Caenorhabditis elegans: one gene and its partners. The protein of the gene in region 1 purifies or fractionates together with the protein of each later gene. This does not show direct contact. Each region holds a gene or a part of one and is shown in the gene's direction. Other genes may lie near its edges.

Evidence for each region.
Region 2: the proteins of H34I24.2 (region 1) and T18D3.6 fractionate together in Caenorhabditis elegans (co-fractionation; one large-scale study listed by BioGRID). This does not show direct contact.
Region 3: the proteins of H34I24.2 (region 1) and M28.10 fractionate together in Caenorhabditis elegans (co-fractionation; one large-scale study listed by BioGRID). This does not show direct contact.

What each region holds. Positions count from the first base shown.
Region 1 is NC_003281.10:2,839,354-2,847,350, forward strand, and holds H34I24.2 (CUB domain-containing protein), read left to right. Parts: upstream 1-2,690; 5' UTR 2,691-2,817; coding exon 2,818-2,855; intron 2,856-3,075; coding exon 3,076-3,407; intron 3,408-3,667; coding exon 3,668-4,039; intron 4,040-4,090; coding exon 4,091-4,111; intron 4,112-5,042; coding exon 5,043-5,195; intron 5,196-5,259; coding exon 5,260-5,720; 3' UTR 5,721-5,844; downstream 5,845-7,997. Other genes in the region: Y71H2AR.2 (Peptidase C1A papain C-terminal domain-containing protein), read right to left, coding at 1-55, 421-599, 1,031-1,426, 1,504-1,574; H34I24.1 (Conserved secreted protein), read left to right, coding at 7,708-7,956.
Region 2 is NC_003284.9:12,447,226-12,453,283, forward strand, and holds T18D3.6 (uncharacterized protein), read left to right. Parts: upstream 1-2,666; 5' UTR 2,667-2,691; coding exon 2,692-3,432; intron 3,433-3,517; coding exon 3,518-3,581; intron 3,582-3,634; coding exon 3,635-3,702; 3' UTR 3,703-4,130; coding exon of another isoform or gene 4,131-4,208; 3' UTR 4,209-4,218; downstream 4,219-6,058. Other genes in the region: T18D3.9 (Mitochondrial inner membrane protein Mpv17), read right to left, coding at 4,131-4,208, 4,347-4,415, 5,896-6,024.
Region 3 is NC_003280.10:10,644,429-10,650,516, forward strand, and holds M28.10 (Flo11 domain-containing protein), read left to right. Parts: upstream 1-3,087; coding exon 3,088-3,198; intron 3,199-3,258; coding exon 3,259-3,384; intron 3,385-3,435; coding exon 3,436-3,520; intron 3,521-3,664; coding exon 3,665-4,095; 3' UTR 4,096-4,248; downstream 4,249-6,088. Other genes in the region: M28.4 (Protein tweety homolog), read left to right, coding at 105-265, 309-467, 690-773, 820-978, 1,023-1,146, 1,198-1,438, 1,489-1,669, 1,714-1,896 and 3 more; nphp-1 (Nephrocystin-1-like protein), read right to left, coding at 4,510-4,638, 4,700-4,935, 4,981-5,093, 5,172-5,671, 5,850-6,080.

The sequences.
Region 1 (7,997 bases):
GATGGGTTGTAGATTCCGATTTTATAATCGTAGAGGGATGGAGGGGCGCGCATCGCTGAAAATATTTGTATTGCTATTAAAGGTGGAGTAGCGCCAGTGGGGAATATGTTAAAAACCACTCCTTTGGTCCCAAAATGGCCAAATATCGTGATAAAACTTTTCAAAAAATTTTTGAAAATTTTTTATTAACTGTCAAAAAGTGGCAATTACTCAATTTTTGCCACTCATAATTTTGGAAGTCGACCAAAAAAAAAATTTTTTACTAAAATTTTTTAAAGAGTTTTATTATGATATTCGGTAGTTTTGGATCATTATAAGTACATTTAGACCAAATCCCAATTGGCGCTACTCTAACTTTAAATGATCTATCAAGAAATTTACTTTTTGCACAATTATGACCAATAAAAAAAAAAAACTCACTGAAAAACGCGGGTCCATAATTTGTGACATAAACTTTCCCCAGTACTTCATTACCCTCTGCCACAACTCCTTTTTTTAAATGAATTTTTGATTTAGTTGAGTCAAAGGTACACTTTTCATTTGTCTTGTCAACATATGGATAGTCTGCTTCTGTTTCTATGCCATGAGTGGCGAGGTATCTGAAATTTTGAATATTTAGCGCTAAAGGTTTTCATCTGACAAAATTGTTAAATAATTAGGTTCCGATTCACATTTATGGGTGTTTTAAACGACAAATGCTACCTATCATTATTGCATAAGCATTTATTATCAATTGATCACATTTTTACCACTCTATTAACTTCAAAGATTTAGGTATTTGAAGACAAGGTCTAATGACCTTCAAATTTGCGTGTCTCAAAAACGGATAGACTAATTAATAAACGTAATTAATAAACGAAATGTTAATCATGTTTGAAATAAAGAACAGTTTGCTGGTTGGAAATTTCTAGACCTTTCCGGCATCGAGGTACACGAGCTTGTATTTCTAAAACGACAGAGCCACTATAAAAATTTTCGCTTTTCAATTGCTCATCACGGTCTAAACCTTAAATCAACCCAAAACAATTACCCAATAGCATTCATCGCAAATTGCTCCTCACATCCCTTATATCCCTGATCATTACAATCAATAAGCTGCTGCTCAGAAAATGACAAAAGTGTTCCATTTGTAGCCTTGGCGTACATTGACTCAATACTGGAAGTTATCGCAAATGCGTGGGATGCATTGCATTTTCCCTGATCTTTAACTGGTCCAACAATTCCTTTCTCTCTCCAATCAAGAAATTCCTCAGTGGTTCGGTCCATGTGAATTGGGGTTTCCCATTGAAATCTTGTTGGGAGTGATTCAGAGGTTCTCTGCTGAACTAAAGAACCAATGATGTAGAATGTCAACGCAGTTAGAGTGAAGAGGATAATGGAATTGAAGGTGCTTCTCGAGTTTGCTGGCTTTTCGAACAAGTCTTCTCTGGAATAATTTACTTTCGATGTTAGGCGTAGGCTTAGGCTTAGGCCTTCTTCGTTTGTATAAAAAGAAAGACTTACCCCATTGCAACGAAGACTTTTTGCTTCTTCGCCTCATCTGCTTTCGAGCTTAATTTAGTAGCACTGACCATTGAGAATTTGTGATTTTCTTGCTATTTTCATTTAACTTTTATATATCCACTTATTGCTAACGATATTTTATTCCTCATGATGAGTCAGTCAAGTTCAAAAGTTATCAGCAATAGAAAACAAAAAAAAACTTGTTTTCAGTGAGAGATTTAGAGAATTGAAGTGGTAGTAAAGTAATTTCCTTCGGTTCTATTTGTTGTGTGATTTGTTTTTGATATCTATGTAGACATGTAGGCATGTAGGCATGTAGACAGGTAGGCATTTTTTGGAGTTTGGATTCAGTAGCTCGCATAACCGCCAAGTTTAAGCAGAGATACCTTTAGAGATATCAAACCTTTTAGAGTATAAATTGAGGTTAAATAAAACTAGGGCTGTACAACCGGACGTCCGGTCGTCCGGTTGGGGGTAGCTATCCACGACGGCCGACAATTTCCGAGTTTCACCACCCACTATAAAATTGCTGATTAAGTATAGTGAGTGGCGAAACTCGGAAATTGTCGGCCGCCGTGGAAACCTACCCCAAAACCGGACGCGGTGCGTCCGGTGGTGTCAAAATCGGACGACCGGACGCCGATTTGTACAGCCCTAAATAAAACTGACCATTTATATGCGAAATTAGTAGATTTTCCAAACTTTGAAAATTCATATCTGACTTCAAATTAAATGTTTCAAAAATTCCCGTAGCCATTTTGTCGCAAATTTTGTGTTCTTTCAGAATTTGAAAGCGGCATTCCAACAACTTCCGAAATTGCCGAGTTCAAGCAGGAAATGTGGATTTTTGAGCACATTTTGAGTTAATTTGGAATAGTCAATTTAAATGCAAAAATAGTAGATTTTTCAAACTTTGAAAATTCATATCTGACTTCAGACTAAATTTTTCGAAAATTCCCGTAGCCATTTTTTCGCAAATTTTGCGTTTTTTCAGAATTTAAAACGACAATTTGTAGGCATGTAGGCATGTTTGGTTCATTTACAGTCAAATTTGACCACGTTTCAGTCAATTTCTCTTCCATTTTTCACATTTAAACTCCCCTTCCTGTTTAAAATTGCCGTCGTAAAAACGGTATAAATCATTCTTATCACCAGCAAATATATCAGTAGTTGTGCATTATGACGGTAGTACATTTTTGGATGGGGAGCAAACATAAATCATTCAATTCGACGCCCTTTTTAAGCTGATAAGGCAAATTTCTAAATTTTCGGCAGTATCACTTCTGTTTCTACACAGGCTTCTTGTCGCTAGAAATGAAATTCCGGTTTTTGGCGTTATGTGTTGGGTTACTGTAAGTTTTGGGCAAAATTGTTTGATTTTTTTCGTATTTTTTCCAGAAACTGGGGTTTTTTAGAAGAAGCATCGAGTTTTTTCAAATTTTTAGCCGACTTTTTAAAATGGAAAATATTGATTTTTCCAAGAAATTGACGATTTTTCTTCCAAAATTATTAATTTTCTTGGAAAAGGTATTGATTTTTCTCGAAACAATAATTTTTCCAAATTTTTTTCAGATTAGCCACATTGGTTAGTGGCAATGGAGACCCGGGAGCCTCAAATTCTTCATCGGTAGCAACAACCGTCGCAGCTTCTCCCTCAACAGACGCTTCCTCATCAGCAGCACCATCCCAGGCTCCAGCTTCTCCAACTTCCGTTGACCCATCTGCCACTACTCAAGCAGCCGCATCCTCTGGAGCACCCGTATCTACAGTATCCCCATCGTCCGGAGCAACCACTGCCGAGCCATCAAGCTCTTCGGCGGCTCCAGTGACCTCTGGAGGGTCTACTGTATCAGCTGGACCAACTACACCAGCACCGCTTCCAAATGTGACGTACAGTCTTTTGCGTGAGTTGTATTAGATAGCTATGTGAAGTAGGCACGAGATCCACTGTAGGTAGCTTGGTAGGCAGTCGTAGGCTGCCTGGTAGGCAGTCGTAGGTAGGTTAAACAGCGCAGAAGACGGGAAGGCACGCGTAGGTAGAAAGACTATCAGACACCGAGTGCCCACGTGAAATGCAAAGACAACTTTAGCAGTACATAGAATGGCATGTAGGCCGCCTTGAAGGCAGGCAAGTAGGCGTTTACACCTATTCACAAATTTTCAGAGTTCTCCTCTCCGGTATGCGTGGATGCTTCTTGCACCTACACTTTCAATGCTCCTGGCAACAACCAAGTCCTTCTCGCCACTGATCAATCTGCTGTCGCCACAGAGCGCACCCAATTCTCAGGTCTTCAAGGTCAGGCCAGTGATAAGGATAAGGCTGTGAAGGAGGCCAATGATGAGGCAGTTCAAAAGATTAAGGATCTTCAAGCCCTACTGGATAGTATTCAAAAAAATTTGAACGCGATTCAAAATAATATCATAGTGATCACAAATCAGCAAAATGACGCGCAGACTACTCTGACGTTTGTGGAGAAGTTTATCGGTCAGGTGAACTCGGCGCAGGGCAATTGTCTATATCAGAGATGTTTGAAGCGTGAGTTCTGAAACAGTGGAGGTTTTTTCTAGTAATTGTGATTTTTTTCAGCGACAACTCCAGCACCACCAAGTAAGTTGCAATGAAAGGAGGCCAAGAACACCTAACAGGGATGAAAGCTTTGAAACGATAGTCTAGATTACTACAAAAATATCATTTTTTAAAAAAATATTTTCAACGGTTGTATTTTTGTCCCTGTCTTTTCGGCAAATTTTTTGAAAGTTTTGAGAAAAAACTCATTCTGAAAAATTTTAAAGAAAATTTATACAAAAAACAAGCGGAAAACTTTCGAAATAATCCAAAATTTTCAGGAAAATCGGTAAATCGGCAAATTGCCGGAATTAAAAATTTTTGGCAAATTGTCAATTTGCCGAAGTTTCCGGAAAACGGAAATTTTGGTTTTGCACATTTTTTTTGGAAATGTCATAATTTCAATTTTAATCGGCAAAAAAAAATTTCCAGCAAACCGGCAAATCGGCAATTGCCGGAATTGAAATTTCTTGCAAATCGGCAAATTGCCGAAAGTGAAAATTTCCGGCACATCGGCAAAATTCCGGAATTGAAAATTTCTGGCAAATCGGCAATTGCCAGAATTGAAAATTTCTGGAAAATCGGCAAATTGTCAGAATTGAAATTTTTGGCAAATCGGCAATTTCCGGAATTGAAACTTTCTGGCAAATCGGCAATTGCCAGAATTGAAAATTTCTGGCAAATCGGGAAATTGCCGGAATTGAAAACTTCTGGCAAATCGGCAAGTTGCCGGAATTGAAAATTTCTGGCAAATCGGCAATTGCCAGAATTGAAAATTTCTGGCAAATCGGCAATTGCCAGAATTGAAAATTTCTGGAAAATCGGCAAAGTGCCGGAATTGAAAATTTCCGGCCAACCGGCAAATCGGCAAATCGGCAAATTGCCGGCAACTCGGCAAACCGGCAATTTTTCGATTTTCCGAACGGCAATTGGCGCCCACCCCTGAATCAAGCAAAGTAATCTTAACTTGCAGCCACCTCAACTGCTCCACCACCAACAACTACTCCAAATCCATGTTTGGCATTTAATTGCACAGGAAGCGGGCCATGCCAATTGGATAGTCTCAACAGACCATACTGCACAAATTGCCCGGGAGATATGGACGGATACACTCAGTGCCAGCAAGGTTAGCTTTTTTTTTAGATTTTAGAACCATCCGCTTCGTTTTTTTTTACTCTGGATTTTTTCAGTTGCCTGCTCAGCCGCTGGAACTAACTTCACCATTGGCACAAATAATAGAGGAGTTTGGTACTCCCCTGGCTACAACTCCAACAATACAAACTCCTCAGTTGTTCCAGCCAACTCTAACTGTATCTATAATCTAACTGGATATTACCAAGTTAACCAAACCAGTGGGGCTCCTGAACTGAATCTAAACTGTCTGGCGTCTTCAAACGTTGAGTTCTATTTTTTGAATTCGGATGGTTTTAAAACGCCACTCACAAGTGGAAGTTCTGCTAGAGTGATTAATAACGCGTTGGGCAAGATGAAAACTGGTGGACAGATTGTTATAACATCGACAAGCTTGGACGCCTCTTATTGTGTGCTTCCGTTGGCTCTGCAACCAGCTACAACTTCGAAACCCGAGTTCGAGGAGTCGGAGGTTGCAAAGAAGTCCAATGGTTTCTTCAATTGGCTTATGGGATATTAATTATTCACAACTGTTTAATGAATGAATATATAGCACATTCACAATTAGTACAACAGTTCAGACCTCTGAGCAGTATTTATTCATTTTTAAACGACAATTTCTATCGTGAAAAAAAAATTACGACATCATCAAAAGGTATGAAACAATATACATAATTGTGCAAATAATTACAAAATTTTGCCGGTTTGCCAATTTGCCGAAAATTTTCGATTCCGGCAATTTGCCGGTTCGCAGTTTACCGGAAATGTTTAAAGGGATTTTTTATAAGACGGAAACACTTAAAACTGTGCCTTTTTGAAACTTTTTTCATGGTTTTTTAAAGATATTTTCATAGAATTTGCAAAATAGATGTAGGAAGATTCTTAGGATGCGTACAATTTTGCCGATTAAAATTGAAATTCTGAAATTTCCGAAAAAATGTGCAAAACCAAAATTTGCCGATATTTTTTGGCAACTACAGTTTTTCCGGCAAATTCGGAGAATCGGCAATTTGCCGGTTTGCCGATTTACCGGAAATTTTCAATTCTGGCAATTTGCCGGAAATTTGCCAATTTGCCGGAAATTTCAATTCTGGCAATTTGCCGATTTGCCAGAAACTTCAATTTTGGCAATTTGGCGATTTGCAAGAAATTTCAATTCTGGCAATTTGCCAATTTTCCAGAAATTTTTCATTACGGCAAATTGGCGATTTGCCGGAAATTTGCCGATTTGCCAGAAACTTCAATTTTGGCAATTTGGCGATTTGCAAGAAATTTCAATTCTGGCAATTTGCCAATTTTCCAGAAATTTTTCATTACGGCAAATTGGCGATTTGCCGGAAATTTGCCGATTTGCCAGAAACTTCAATTTTGGCAATTTGGCGATTTGCAAGAAATTTCAATTCTGGCAATTTACCAATTTTCCAGAAATTTTTCATTACGGCAAATTGGCGATTTGCCGGAAATTTGCCGATTTGCCAGAAACTTCAATTTTGGCAATTTGCCGATTTGCCGGAAATTTCATTTCCGGAAATTTGTCGATTAGCCGGGAATTTCGATTCTGGCAATTTGCCGACTTGCCAAAAATTTTCAATTCCGGAAATTTGCCGATGTGCCAGAAATTTCAATTCTGGCAATTTGCCAATTTGCCAAAAATTTTCAATTCCGGCAATTTGCCGATTTGCAAGAAATTTCAATTCTGACAATTTGCCGATTTGCCAGAAATTTCAATTCCGGAATTTTGCCACTTTGCCAGAAATTTCAATTCTGGCAATTTGCCAATTAGCTGGGAATTTCAATTCTGGCAATTTGCCGACTTGCCGGAAATTTCCAATTTCGGCAATTCGCCGATTTGCCAGAAATTTCAATTCTGGCAATTTGCCGATTTGCCGGAAATTTTCAATTCCGTCGATTTGCCGATTGTCCAGAAATTTTCAATTCTGGATTTTGCCAATTTGCCAGAAATTTTTCATATCGGGAATTTGGCGATTTGCCGGAAATTTGCCGCTTTGCAAGAAATTTCAATTCTGGAATTGTGCCACTTTGCCAGAAATTTCAATTCTGGCAATTTGCCAATTAGCTGGGAATTTCAATTCTGGCAATTTGCCGATTTGCCGGAAATTTTCAATTTCGGCAATTCGCCGATTTGCCAGAAATTTCAATTCTGGCAATTTGCCGATTTGCCGGAAATTTTCAATTCCGTCGATTTGCCGATTGTCCAGAAATTTTCAATTCTGGATTTTGCCAATTTGCCAGAAATTTTTCATATCGGGAATTTGGCGATTTGCCGGAAATTTGCCGCTTTGCAAGAAATTTCAATTCTGGAAAATTGCCGGAAATTTTCAATTCCGGCATTTTGCCGATTTTTCCAATTTTGTTACGTAATTTTAATCACGATTTTCCATTATATAACAACGTGACCGCCTCCCTTATAAAAATCCAAATAAATAATGGCAAAGATTTCCATAATTCCGTTTAAAATCAGTTTTTGAAAAATCGATATCGAAGAAATGAGGACGGTTCATTTGCTCGTGTTGTTCGTGCTCTTCGCGACGTCTCATGCTCAAGAAGATGGCTCCACGGCTACAGAAGGAGCTCTTGAAGTGGCAGATGAGGATACATCGACTACTCAGACATCGGGTACAGTAACCCTGTCGCCAGCGGAATTCGAGGAAGAAGAGAAGAAGTTTGTTGAGAAATTGAATGAGTATCGTCGGGAGGTTGCGAAGAAGATGAAAATTGCGAATATGAATGAATTGGTGAGTTGGTGAGTTTTAGTTTTTGTATCAGGCTACAAAAT
Region 2 (6,058 bases), on another chromosome or scaffold:
TATTGCAAGATGGCTTTGAAGATGAAGACGAATGGGTGAAAATAAACAAAAGTGAGATGTTAGGACATCTCATCTTTGCCTATGTTTTAATCTAAGAAGCTTTCTTTAGTTTCTTGCCCTAGATTAATCTCATCTCTCAGCACTTTAGCACATTCCTCATTCCTTTCAGTTCAAAGTATTTCGAGCAAATAACCCCATAACAAAATTTATAACTGTGGAACAATGTGGGCGAGATCACAATTTATTGTGTTTTTCGGCTCGCAGAGCACATTCATTCTTTCTACTAATGTTCATAGCAACGGGAAGTACAAGTAGGCTAAAGGTCGATGCATGCTTTTGTTTTTTTTTCTTGGATTTTTTCTTGGAAATGAGCATGCGTGTTAATTTTCTAAGAAAACTTATCAAGAATTTTGGGCGATATTTGGTTGATATGAGGCGTTGTTCATATTTGTGGTATTATGGCTCAAAATCTAAATAATGTGTTCTAATTAGGGGTGGCAAGAGTGCGACCTAGGTCGCTAGGTCGCTGTTTTCATTTAGGTCGCATCGCGACCTAGGTCGCATTGCGACCTGCGACCTAGCGACCTGGGTCGCATTGCGACCTGCGACCTAGCGACCTAGGTCGCATTGCGACCTGCGACCTAGCGACCTGCGACCTTGCGACCTGGGTCGCATTGCGCTTTGCGACCTGAAGTACTGACATTTTTTATACTAACAAATTGCTACAAATCATTTATTTTACATTGTTTTCGATTTCTTATCCATAAGACACCTTGTCGAAAAAAGTTAGAACAGCCGACATCCGCCGGATTTGCTGCTTTTTTCTACGTTTTTAATTCGAAAAGTGGAAAATTAAATTTTAGAAACAACAAAAACCACAAAAACGTGAACTTTTTGAAACAATTTGCTGAAATGCATGGTTTTATTTGTAGAAATGAATTCTTTGTTCCGTACTTTTGAAAAAAAACTACGCATAAACTTATAAAATCTTAATAGAGAAAATGTTATTGGAATATACATATTCTGCAATCTTTAGTTTTCGAGTTATACAGTTTTCGAGTTATACGATTTTAACAACTCAAGTGAATCAAAACCGAAAGAGAACAAAATGTCGGTAATTCAGGTCGCAATGCGACCTAGGTCGCTAGGTCGCAGGTCGCTAGGTCGCAGGTCGCAATGCGACCTAGGTCGCGATGCGACCTAACCCTCTAGGTCGCAGGTCGACCTAGGTCGACCTATAGCCACCCCTAATTCTAATATATCAGGAGATGTTTAAAAATAGTTCATGACTGCCAGATAAACACACAATTTTCAAAGCAATGTATCCGTTTTGTTGTTGTCAACTTAGGTATTAGTGCATGCGTGGTTGTAATAAGCACAAAGCTGAAATATCTAATTTTAGGAAAAGCACGTAAACTTTCTTGTTTTATCATTATCAAGTTTCACTGTAAAGTTTTTTATTATTTTCAAGTTGTCTATGGTGGAGAAATAAAAAGGTTATAGTTGAAACTTTATTGTCTTATCAGTAGTCAAAAAATTTTTGAAAACCCTCACTTTTCTGAGGTGTATTTTCTATTTTTCCAGAAGTCATATCAAACATAATACAGTAGGGTTCTAGCAAACTTTAGTGAACATTCATTGTTTGAGTGGTCTTTCCAGTTGCAACAAATACTACGTATTTAGATAAATATCAAAAAATTATAAAACCTAGCTACTGTACCAGCCAAAAATTAGCTAAAATGATGATTTTATCTTTAAAAAAAATTCAAACTAGTGTTTTAACCAGCAACAGTGTAAACCTTTATAGAAGTATATGTGATTCGTCGTCAAAAATGCAAGGCAATCGTTTTTTTCAAGTTTTTTTAATGATAATGCTGAAATCTTGAAAGTTTGCTGAAATGTACTAAAAACTGAGTACTACTTTGTATTTATCTGGCTGTAACTGTTTGTGAGCTGCAATTACTTTAATACAAACCAACATTTTTATAGCGCTTTTTCAGAGCAAAATACATGGCGTAAAAAACAAGTATGTACATGTGTTTTGTTTGTAACTTTTCTTTTGTTGCTTGGTAAAGATGTCAATTTAATATTGTTATTGAATATCACAATATAATGTAGGCAATCTGCTACTTCAAACATTTGAGACAGCAAGACACGCAGGCATCTCGACAAAACGGCGCTGCTGGGCAGAACAGGCCGGCCAGTGTCGGCAGTGGAAGAGGGCGACGGCGACCGTCCGTCTTTTGGCCGCATGTTCTCCCCCATTTTTCCTCTCCCTTGCAAACACTTTTTATTCTCTTTCTACGGTTTGCAATTCTGCCAATTCTGCAGTGTTTCGGCGAAATGAATTTTCTTAGTTTAAACTGGGAAACTATTAAGCGGCAGTGTGATAGGCTTGGTTGCCACAAAAAAGTTACTCGTTTTGTTTTGCAAATTTACAAAATTTTTAACAAGTTGCTAAATTCCTTTTTTAAGTCTTTTTTAAATATACAATTCCAATGCAAAAAAATATCCCAATGCGTCACATGTTCTATATTTTCCTTCATCACTCCTCGTCTTGCATGTTTTTCAAATACAACTGTTATGTGAATACCCTTTCTGAAAGAAAATTATTATTTACGCCCAACGTTCTTTCAGTTGACTTAACATCACTCAATAGTTTCCTTTTTCAGTTACTTGGGTATACTCATAATGGAAGAACCCCACCCAGCACCAAGGAATGATCGAGATGCGGAAGGTGAAGAGGCTAGGCACGCTTTAAGGATGGAGAGACAACTTGCAATTCGTGAGGGACGTTATCTGCCTCCACTCCCACAACTTCCACCATTGATCCAGCTGATTCCTGTGCACCGCGCTCAGGCGAACGAAGCTGTCGATAGAGCCATTGAATTTCAGCTAAACCAGAGGCGGCAGTTTTTGCTGCAACACCTTCGACCTGAGCATTTTCAGCCTGGTGGATTCTTTGATCCGCAGCCAGAGGGAAACTATCATCCTTTGTCTCCACAACATAGTGACGAAGAGCTTGATGACGCGGAAGAGGAGATTGAGAGACAGCGACGAATCCGCCAAAACTGGAGAAACTACATGAACCAGAGAGTTGATCCCATTCCACAAGAGATCGTTGACCGCTTGCTCCGGGAATACGACAATTGGGCAAGAGCCGCGTTAAACAATAACAATGGAAATTTTCGAAACTACAATGCGATGCTCTCCCCATCACCATCTCCATCACCAAATGCATCACCAGCACCGTCAGACGACGAAGATCCGATGGAGCACGTGAATTCTGATGATGAAGATGTCGAGATGCTTAATGCTCAAATGATGGAAATGCGTCCCAATCAGCCGAGACCAAGAAAGCGTCATAATTCTCAAGGACCATTACCGATCAAAAGGAAAAGAGTCACTTTCAAGGAGGACTCTTCAGATGAGGTTCGGAATTTTTCGGGCTTTTGAAATTTTTTGCAAAACACCCAAAAAATTTTACAATATAATCATACAAAATTCAAAATTTCAGGCCATCAACTCATTCGATGAGGACAGCTCCGATTGCAATGACAATGTTCCAGTCAACCGTAAACGTGAGGAATAAACATAATTAATTCAGCGAGTCAGCTAATGTCAAAATGTTTAGAATATGACGACGACGACGAGGGATTTTTCGGAGGACCCCCGGCACGCCACAACTCCTTTGTTGCATAGAAGTAAATCTCAAATTAACCAACTTTTCTTCAACACACTTTTACCAATTTTTCTAACGAGAAACTACCGGTTCCCCGGTGGCACCGTACGCCATTTTCTGTGAATGTTTTTTTTCAAACCCCGTTTTTCTTTCTTTCTTTCCATTTCTGTCCGACTCATTTCCGCCACATTTCCTCGCCAATCCACTTCCCCGCACCACTTGGGATCTCGTTTCATTTTCATGACTGTTCTTCTGGAAATTTAATCACAAAGTCCAAAACTCATTTCTCATCCTGTTTTATACTCTCAATTTACTTTTTGAATTAACATTATCGTCATTAATTTTAATTGGGAATTTTGAACATAATACAATTTTATGTGAAATTACAACCTAAAACATAAATATCACAGAAAAATACATAAAGATTGGAATGTATGTGAAACTGTAACTAGTAAAATTGTTCAATATGATCGATGGGTTTCTGAGTGATGTAGGACAGATAACAATTCCAGAAGAATGCGACGACCTGAAAAATTAATTGAAAAAATAAACTGATTGATGTGTTTCGTTTCAATGGCGTGATAAACTGTCTAATAAAAATTGAACCTTTTAAACAGTTGTATTTTGGTTATGATTTATTCTTCAAACTTTGGTCAAAATGTACCTGGTTAAGTATTACTCGATAATTGAGTGGAACAAAGCACAAATTCACAACTTGAACAAATGGCCAAACCTGGAATAGTATTTTTGTACGACATAAATTTTTGAGTGCTTGGCAATAATAAAAAATGATTTGGAAGTTAGTTAGGTTTCACGCTGACGTGGCGCATGTTTTCTGTCAAAAATTCACTTTTATTGTAATTTTCATTACGTGTAAATTGCTTCTAAATCAGAAAACTTCTTAATAAAGCTTTGCTGATCGAGATAATGTTTTGAAATTATATATGTATTACTTCACAAAATAAGCAATTCTACTACAATCAACCTTATTTTTCACATAATTTTTAACAGTTAGAGGCCTTTAAATGTTTATAATACAAGTTGAAAAACAGTTTTCAGCAATATGGTGATGATGCTATTGATACTTTATTTTTATTCGAACTATTTCTCCTCAGCATCAGTTTTTGTTCGTCTTCCTCCAAATCTATGTTGATCCAATCCTCATTTTGTGAATATCAATGCATCCTCTTTTTATTGTGCACTCTTTCAATTTCGGGATAAAGCTCTGCTCTTTTGGCGAGGACGAGTCGCAAATGCGACACTCGCGCACACGACGACGAATCGCACCAGCGATTCACCACGTCGCAACGACAAAACTCGCATCGCCGATAACGAAGAGGACCGCCGGTGCGACATAGATGTCGCAATGGAAACCCGTTGGCGACTTGCGAATCGCTCCGACGACACCGCCGGCGATGTGGACTCGCAATGTTGGAGCAGTTGGATGTTGCGTGTCCGCGTCGCGACGAGCCAGCGATAGGCGACAAATGCAGGCAGCAGTGGCTCAATTGCGGCGACGACCCGCACATTTTCTCGGCTGTCTCTTTTCGTTGAGACGCCTTGCTGGGAGATGAGGCGCGAAGAGAAAGGAGTCCTCATTCTGTCATTTGGAGAGGGAAAAATGGGTGAGAGAAAAAGAAAAGGTAATAGAGATGTCCAGTGTGTGTTCCGATTAGAAGAAAGTTTCGAAATTTGAGGGAACTGGGTTGAGCGCAACGAATGTGAAATCAGAGATTAGTTGTGATAATTAAGAATGTTAAAATAGAAAAAAAATATATGTTGTGTCATTTTATGTTTTAATTTTATTAACTGATTTACCCAAAATTGAAACAAAGCATAGCGCCAGTAGATAATGTTCAAAATTGCTTTTATGGAGCTAGTTACATATTTAAGTAAAACTTTCTAAAAACTATTTCTAAAAAGTTGTATTACTATCAAAAAGTGGCATTTTCCTTGTTTACAACTATTTAAACTTCATTCGCCGACCAAATAATTTACTACAAGCTTGATATTTTTATTGTATTTTAATAATTTATGGTTGAAGATTGTATGGCTTTATACGGGCACTTTTAATTTTTTATTATTAGCTAATTCGTCAAAACTGTAACTGAGAAACTTAAGTCTAAACAATCTTTGAATTGTTCATCTAATCTTTGAATGAAGCTTTGAAAATGAATGTATTTTTTCCTAATTTTCCAAAAAAATGTATGTACCTTTAAACTTGTTGCATAAATGTTGAACCAATCTTCTTTTAGAAGATCCCACGACTTTTCCGCTGATTGGTGTTGCAATAGCCGGAGATTGAACAGTATTGCGGCGTTAAAGCAAGGACTAAAACAGAGCTGGAAAATTGTATTTTAAAGGTTGTTATTTTTA
Region 3 (6,088 bases), on another chromosome or scaffold:
GTGAGGGAACAAGATCTCTATAGAGGGCGACCTCAGATCTTTGCCCTTCTACTTGTCCGTCACTTTCCGGCAGTTGCCTTTTTTGCTGAACAGCATTTTTCCAGACCGCACCAAAGTCCTAACCGAAGGTGCATATCAAGTGGCATGTGAATTCTTACGTACAACTTCTCACAACTTTGCCCATTTGAACTCTTTTGTTTCAAATTACACGTCAACTGTAGTTGACGACACGGAAAGTGGTGTTGGAATAGTCGATGTTAATGATGTAGGTTTAAAGAATGTATTCAATAAGATCAATTAATTTTCAGTTTGATCTTTCTGGCTATCGAGATCAAAATCAAATCACAATAAAGTCAGGAAATGCTCTGGTAAATCGTCTTCGAAATATGAACACTCTTGATATGGACTGCAAGGCACATGCAAAAAATTTGGTCAAAGAAATACCGGTGCTTGAGAAAACATTGCCGGTAAATTTTACAATAATGTGTGCCTGCTTACAGGCCCTCAAAAACTCAGTTGAATGTACCGAATAGGCGGTAGATAGGCACGTATGCATAAAGACGTCCTACAATTTTTGATCATGAAAATTTAAACCTAAAAATCATTATTTAGACGCTGTAGTTTTTGTTTTTTTTTTTTTTTGAAAAACCACTATCAAAATACCTTACTAATGAAAACAAATAGTTCAGGTCTCCGCAGCAGCCACACGCATTATCAAAGGATCCATGCAACTTCAACGCATTAATTCCCAGATCAAGGATATTAAAGATCATGTATAGCTTTTTCTTAATTTTCTACTCAAACCCCCTCAATTTTCAGATTCAAACCGAATCTAATCGCGCATTAAAAGCCATCAAACAAGCACAAAAAATTGTTGATGGTTCTCTGAAGACTATCAATACTTCGCTGATCGCGTATCAACAGGAGGTGACCGAAGCGCTGAGCACACTGAACTCTGGTCATGAGCATTTTGTGGCGGTAGGTACTTGAAAAAGCTACTGAAGAACATGATCTGATTTTGGTCAAGTGGATATTCTAGCTTGAAAATTTGTGTTCGTCTTCTTGTGACTTTGCCTATTTGCATTGGACTCGTTTTTTGTATCATTGGATGTGTAGCAATAGCCCTGTCACTTTGGAAGAATACACGTAAGTTCAAATAATTTTCCAGGAAACTTGAATAGTTAATTGAATTTTAAGCTTCAAAGTTCACCCTGCCCACTCAATTCCCCAAGCTCGCCACAATTGTTCTCGTTGGTTTTTACGTTAGCATCGTGGTTTCCATTGTGCTTCTTTTATTTTCGAGTACTCTTTTTATCTTGGGATGGTTCGTGTCAGCCATATGTGTTCCCACTTTCCAAGATGATAATTATACAATGTTTCATAGTATACATGTATCAATTAATAGAACAAATGGACCTTTGGATTATTTGAATATTGGGTGAGATATTTCAGAGCTCAGAACCTAAAGCTCATATAATTAACTTTCAGAAAACTTTTCACATCCTGCCGCAATCCTAGAATGACACTGTACAGCGCAATTGAGGGAGAGAAATTGTTTCGCCTAGAATCAGTTACCGAGAAGCTGAACTTGAATGCCTTTCGGAATATGACAAACGAGAAAATTATGAAACTGCCTAATTTGACATTTTCATTCGAGAAGCATCATGAAGTGAGAAAGAAAATAATATTTTTGACGAAATTAATATTTTTTAGATATCATTTGACAAAATAAGCCATGGTTATAGTACTGTAAAGAAATCCAATTTAACAGATTGTGATGATGAGGATGCAGTTCAAGAGTACCAAGAATACATTGAGCTCCTTGAAAAATCTTATTCGTTATCCGATCAATTTGTGGATATTGTGAAGACGTTGAGTTCGAATGCTCTAAATATGGTATTTTAGCAATCTTTAGAAATTTATGTTTCTAAAAATGTTTCAGACTTTGATAGCCAGGGATCTTAACAATGACTATTTTGATAGTGGAGACTGGTCAATTAATGAGTCAATTACGGCGCTTAGGGTGAGTATACTAGAAGGCGTCGGTTAATCATCCGATTTTTCAGACAAACCTTCAAACTAATATATTCATGTGTCGCCCGTTTATTGATATCTTCAACAATGGGGGTATCATTCTGTGCCAACAGCTTGGAAAACCAATTCATGGAATGTGGGCTTCTGCTGGGTTAGCTGGAATTGCATTTCTTCTTCAATCAATTCTCTTTCTTCTTGTTTACCGTTGGTTGAGACAAAGTGATGTTGATAAGGTTTGACATGTCTAACAGTATGAAGCTCTACTGTCTAGTTTCAGAAAGATTCCACAGCTGTACCATCCGTGAAGTCCACCAGTGACCCCAAAGTGGATACTGAAAGTTCACATGCCAGTGTGCACCCGACAGAGTCAGTTACAACAGTTACTGAAGGAACTAACTATGAATTGGCAAAAACTCCGAAAACTCCAGCAAAGAGAGCATCAAGGGCTTCATTTGACACACTTGACGTTGTACCAAAATGGTGATTGATGTTTATGCAAACTTCCAATTGTCGGTACCTTATTTTCATGTTTGTATAGAATTATAAAGTGTTTTATTTCAATTCAGACAGTTTTATGGTGTTACTTTTTTGAAGACCTATGCTCTCCTTTTCGCTCGAAAAAAGCTTCTGAGAATATCACTGCGAATAGATATTTTATTAACTTTTTCAGAAAATTTACTAAAATTTAGTCAGACATTAAAAAAACGATCAAGCAAATAATTTGTTCGCTTATTAAAAACTCCCACCTCCAATTCCAATGACGTCATGACTTTTCAAATAGTAGCCGAGCAGCTTCCATTTCCTTCCATTTCATTTCTTATCAGTGCCAAATTGAATGATTTATTATCTTAATGCGGCGATGGCTTGTAACCAACGCCCCGTTTTTACATTTTTCAACTACCATCGGTAGACCGAATTTATACAATTTTAAATTTAAATTGATTTTAAAACTGAATCTATTTTAGACTTTTCTGCCTACCAGGCAAATTTGCCTGAAGTTATGTAATGCCTTGATGTTTTGCCTTTTTCGTATATCGTTTTTGTTACCTTTAGATGACACGTCTCGTACTTCTCCTATTTGTTCCGGCACTGCTCGCCTTCGATTCATCATTCAATTACGGATGCCAAAATGGACAATGTACCTTCCAACTTGTGGTTCCCAAGGTGACACATTTTCAATACATTTTCACATAGTACTGAAATTCTCAAATTGAAATCGTTCAGGAAGTGGCTCAAGCTATCGATGAACAAACCCTGAACAATGAAGTTGCAACTATTGCTTCAAGTCTCTCAAAATTGGATTCCACAATTTTGAAATTTAATGACACCGGTGCATGTGCCTTCACAAAAGTAAATTTGTGCCAATTAAGCTTTTCTAGACTATTGAGCAATTGATTTCAGGGTTTTAATGCGAACTTCACAGTGGTCAATGCAACTGGTCAGAGCTTGAATGATAATGTTCAAGTTGCTAGTAATAATGCATCAGGTAAATAGGCAGGAAGTCTGTACTGTAGTTTAAAAGTTTTAAGTTAATGCATATATTTTTGGAGTTCGTAAATTTTTCTGACCAGGTGTGCTCTTAAATTCAATTCTCACATTTGAAATTTCCCGTATTCCATTTTATTTCCAGACCTACTTACCGCATCAGCAAACGCCAACACAACCGCCACATTGCTTTACAACTCAATTTCTTGCTTCCAACAAAATGTAAACTCCAGCTACACATGCTTCTCACCTCCAAGCACTATTGCTCCGTCTACCATTGCTCCATCCACAACTGCCAGCGATGTCTCCACTGTAAACCCTGTGACTGACAACGGAAGTACCGTGTCTCAAGGAACTCAGCCGACTGGTGGAAGTACTGCTGCTCCAGTGAGTACTGATGCACCAGGTTCTACTGTCTCTGGAGCAACCGATGCATCCGTTGCATCCACAGCTGGTGGAGATACTACTGCAAGTGGAGCTTCTGTGGTATCAACCGCTGCTTCTTCCGAGGCCTCTACCGCCGCACCTGAAGCTTCTTCCGCTGCCGCTACTGTAATCAGCGGCAAGCCAGTTTAGGAACTCTTAGATTTCTCAGAACCACATCCTGATCGTCAGCTCGCAGAATTTCATGATGTAATAAAACCCCTTAATGGAATAAATTCGATGAGGCTGTGATTCTGAAAAATCGCCCAATTTTATTCATTATTGCGAATAAACATATTTCATTTCAAATCCATTTTTTGAGAGGGTACAGTGTGAAAATTTACAACTGAAAAATGGCCATTGCTCAGTTTTACCACTCCTATGTTTGGGAGTCGACTCTAAATTATTCAAATATTAAACAAAAAAACCAAAAATTTCAAAACCAAAAATTTCAAAACTTGAAATTTACTGAAACAATGACTGAAACATTTCTATGCTTAGATGCTAGATGAGTAGAACTTATTACACAGTTAAATTTTTTATTGAGCTTAATTTTATCTCCATAAATTAGTCAATAGAATGATTGCCTAAAAGATCCAATGAATAATCGATAATATTGATTGGTTTGCATTGTTGATCTGCGATGAACTGCTTGAAAAGTCCCTTATTCAATGCATCCACAAATCGTTGCATAGTCTGAAATGTTACAATAATCGAAGCCTGATTTTGAAACGAGCTCCAAGAGCAGCAGCTCTACCTGTTGCCTAATCGAAAGAGTAAGATCATCTTTGACATCATACGAAATCATTCGAATCCCATGAATAAAAAACGCGGTGTGTAGAAAAGTTTGGAAGAACTCGGCAGTTTGTTCAGCTTCGTTTTTCTTGGCGAGCACTTTCTTTTTGGTTTTCCAAATTTTCAGCATTATATCCATAATGTCATGCTGGTCACAAACAAATGGGAATACAGAGAGAAGTGGGTCAGATATAAATTCTGAAATTAGTTCAAAATATTGTTTGGGTGGGTATGAAATCCTACCAGCACTCAATGGATTCCGATTGTCCCGAATTAAAATGGTTCCAGCTCGTCGGCGGTAAAAGTGGAAGAATGGTAAATAAAGAGCATTGAATACTATGACATCGGGGAGGGAGCTGGAAAAATAATTTGGGTTGAACTTAAAGTCAGGTCAGGGATCCAGATTTTCAGCTTTCTTAGTTTCCAAAACTCACTCCACATATGAAACCTTATCCTTGGGAACATCCATCACTTGAACCAGAACTCTTCTTTTCGAAGCTTCCGGCAACTTCATTTTTGTCATCACTTCATCATCCAAATACAAAACATTCGTTCTACTTGGCACTGCTTTATCATCAATTATCAGTCGCAGATATGTATGTCCCAAACTCTTTTCCTCAATTCCTATTTGTGTCTTCACCAAATGAGATGCTTCCACAACAAGTACCACTGTCGGAGATCGATAGTTTGAGCGGAGAACAAAATCAGAAAACTCGATGCAGCTTCTCGTCTGGCTCTCTTTTTTCTCAAAGTACCACGTTGAAGATTTGACACGTGGCACAAGAGTGTGCACGTTGCTCACAATTTGAGTGGATTTTGGATTTGTGATGTCGACAAGAGCCATTCTGACAAGTGCCTTGTGTTCGATTAGGGGCATCTTTTCAAATCGAACTAGACGGATAATTTTTGATATATGGACAGTTCGCTTGTAAACCTGCAAAAAATATAGTTGATTTATGAAAGTGAGCAAAAAATGTGTTGCTATGAGTAGCAAATGATTCATAGTAAAAATTTTTAAAGCAATTTTCTCAGCCGTTTTTAGGAAGACTCAGAGGTTTTTTGGCAAAACTGTAGCATTTTTTGGGTAGAAACTGCAAGTTTTAAACTTTTACCTGATCCTTGTAATGACTCCAAAAAAGATCATGAAATCCAATATTTGAAGTTGATAGTCTCGGAGCCATATGGCACACTAGTGACAAGTGAGTGTCATTGTCATATGCTTTACCAAGACAGTCATCAACTCGAGATGCCTGCCGGTTTGCTTCTCGTCTTGATGGATCAGTAGTCGTAGATATTCCGATCACCGAATCTCGAACTCCGAGGCGACTAGACACTTTTGATGGCTGAAAAT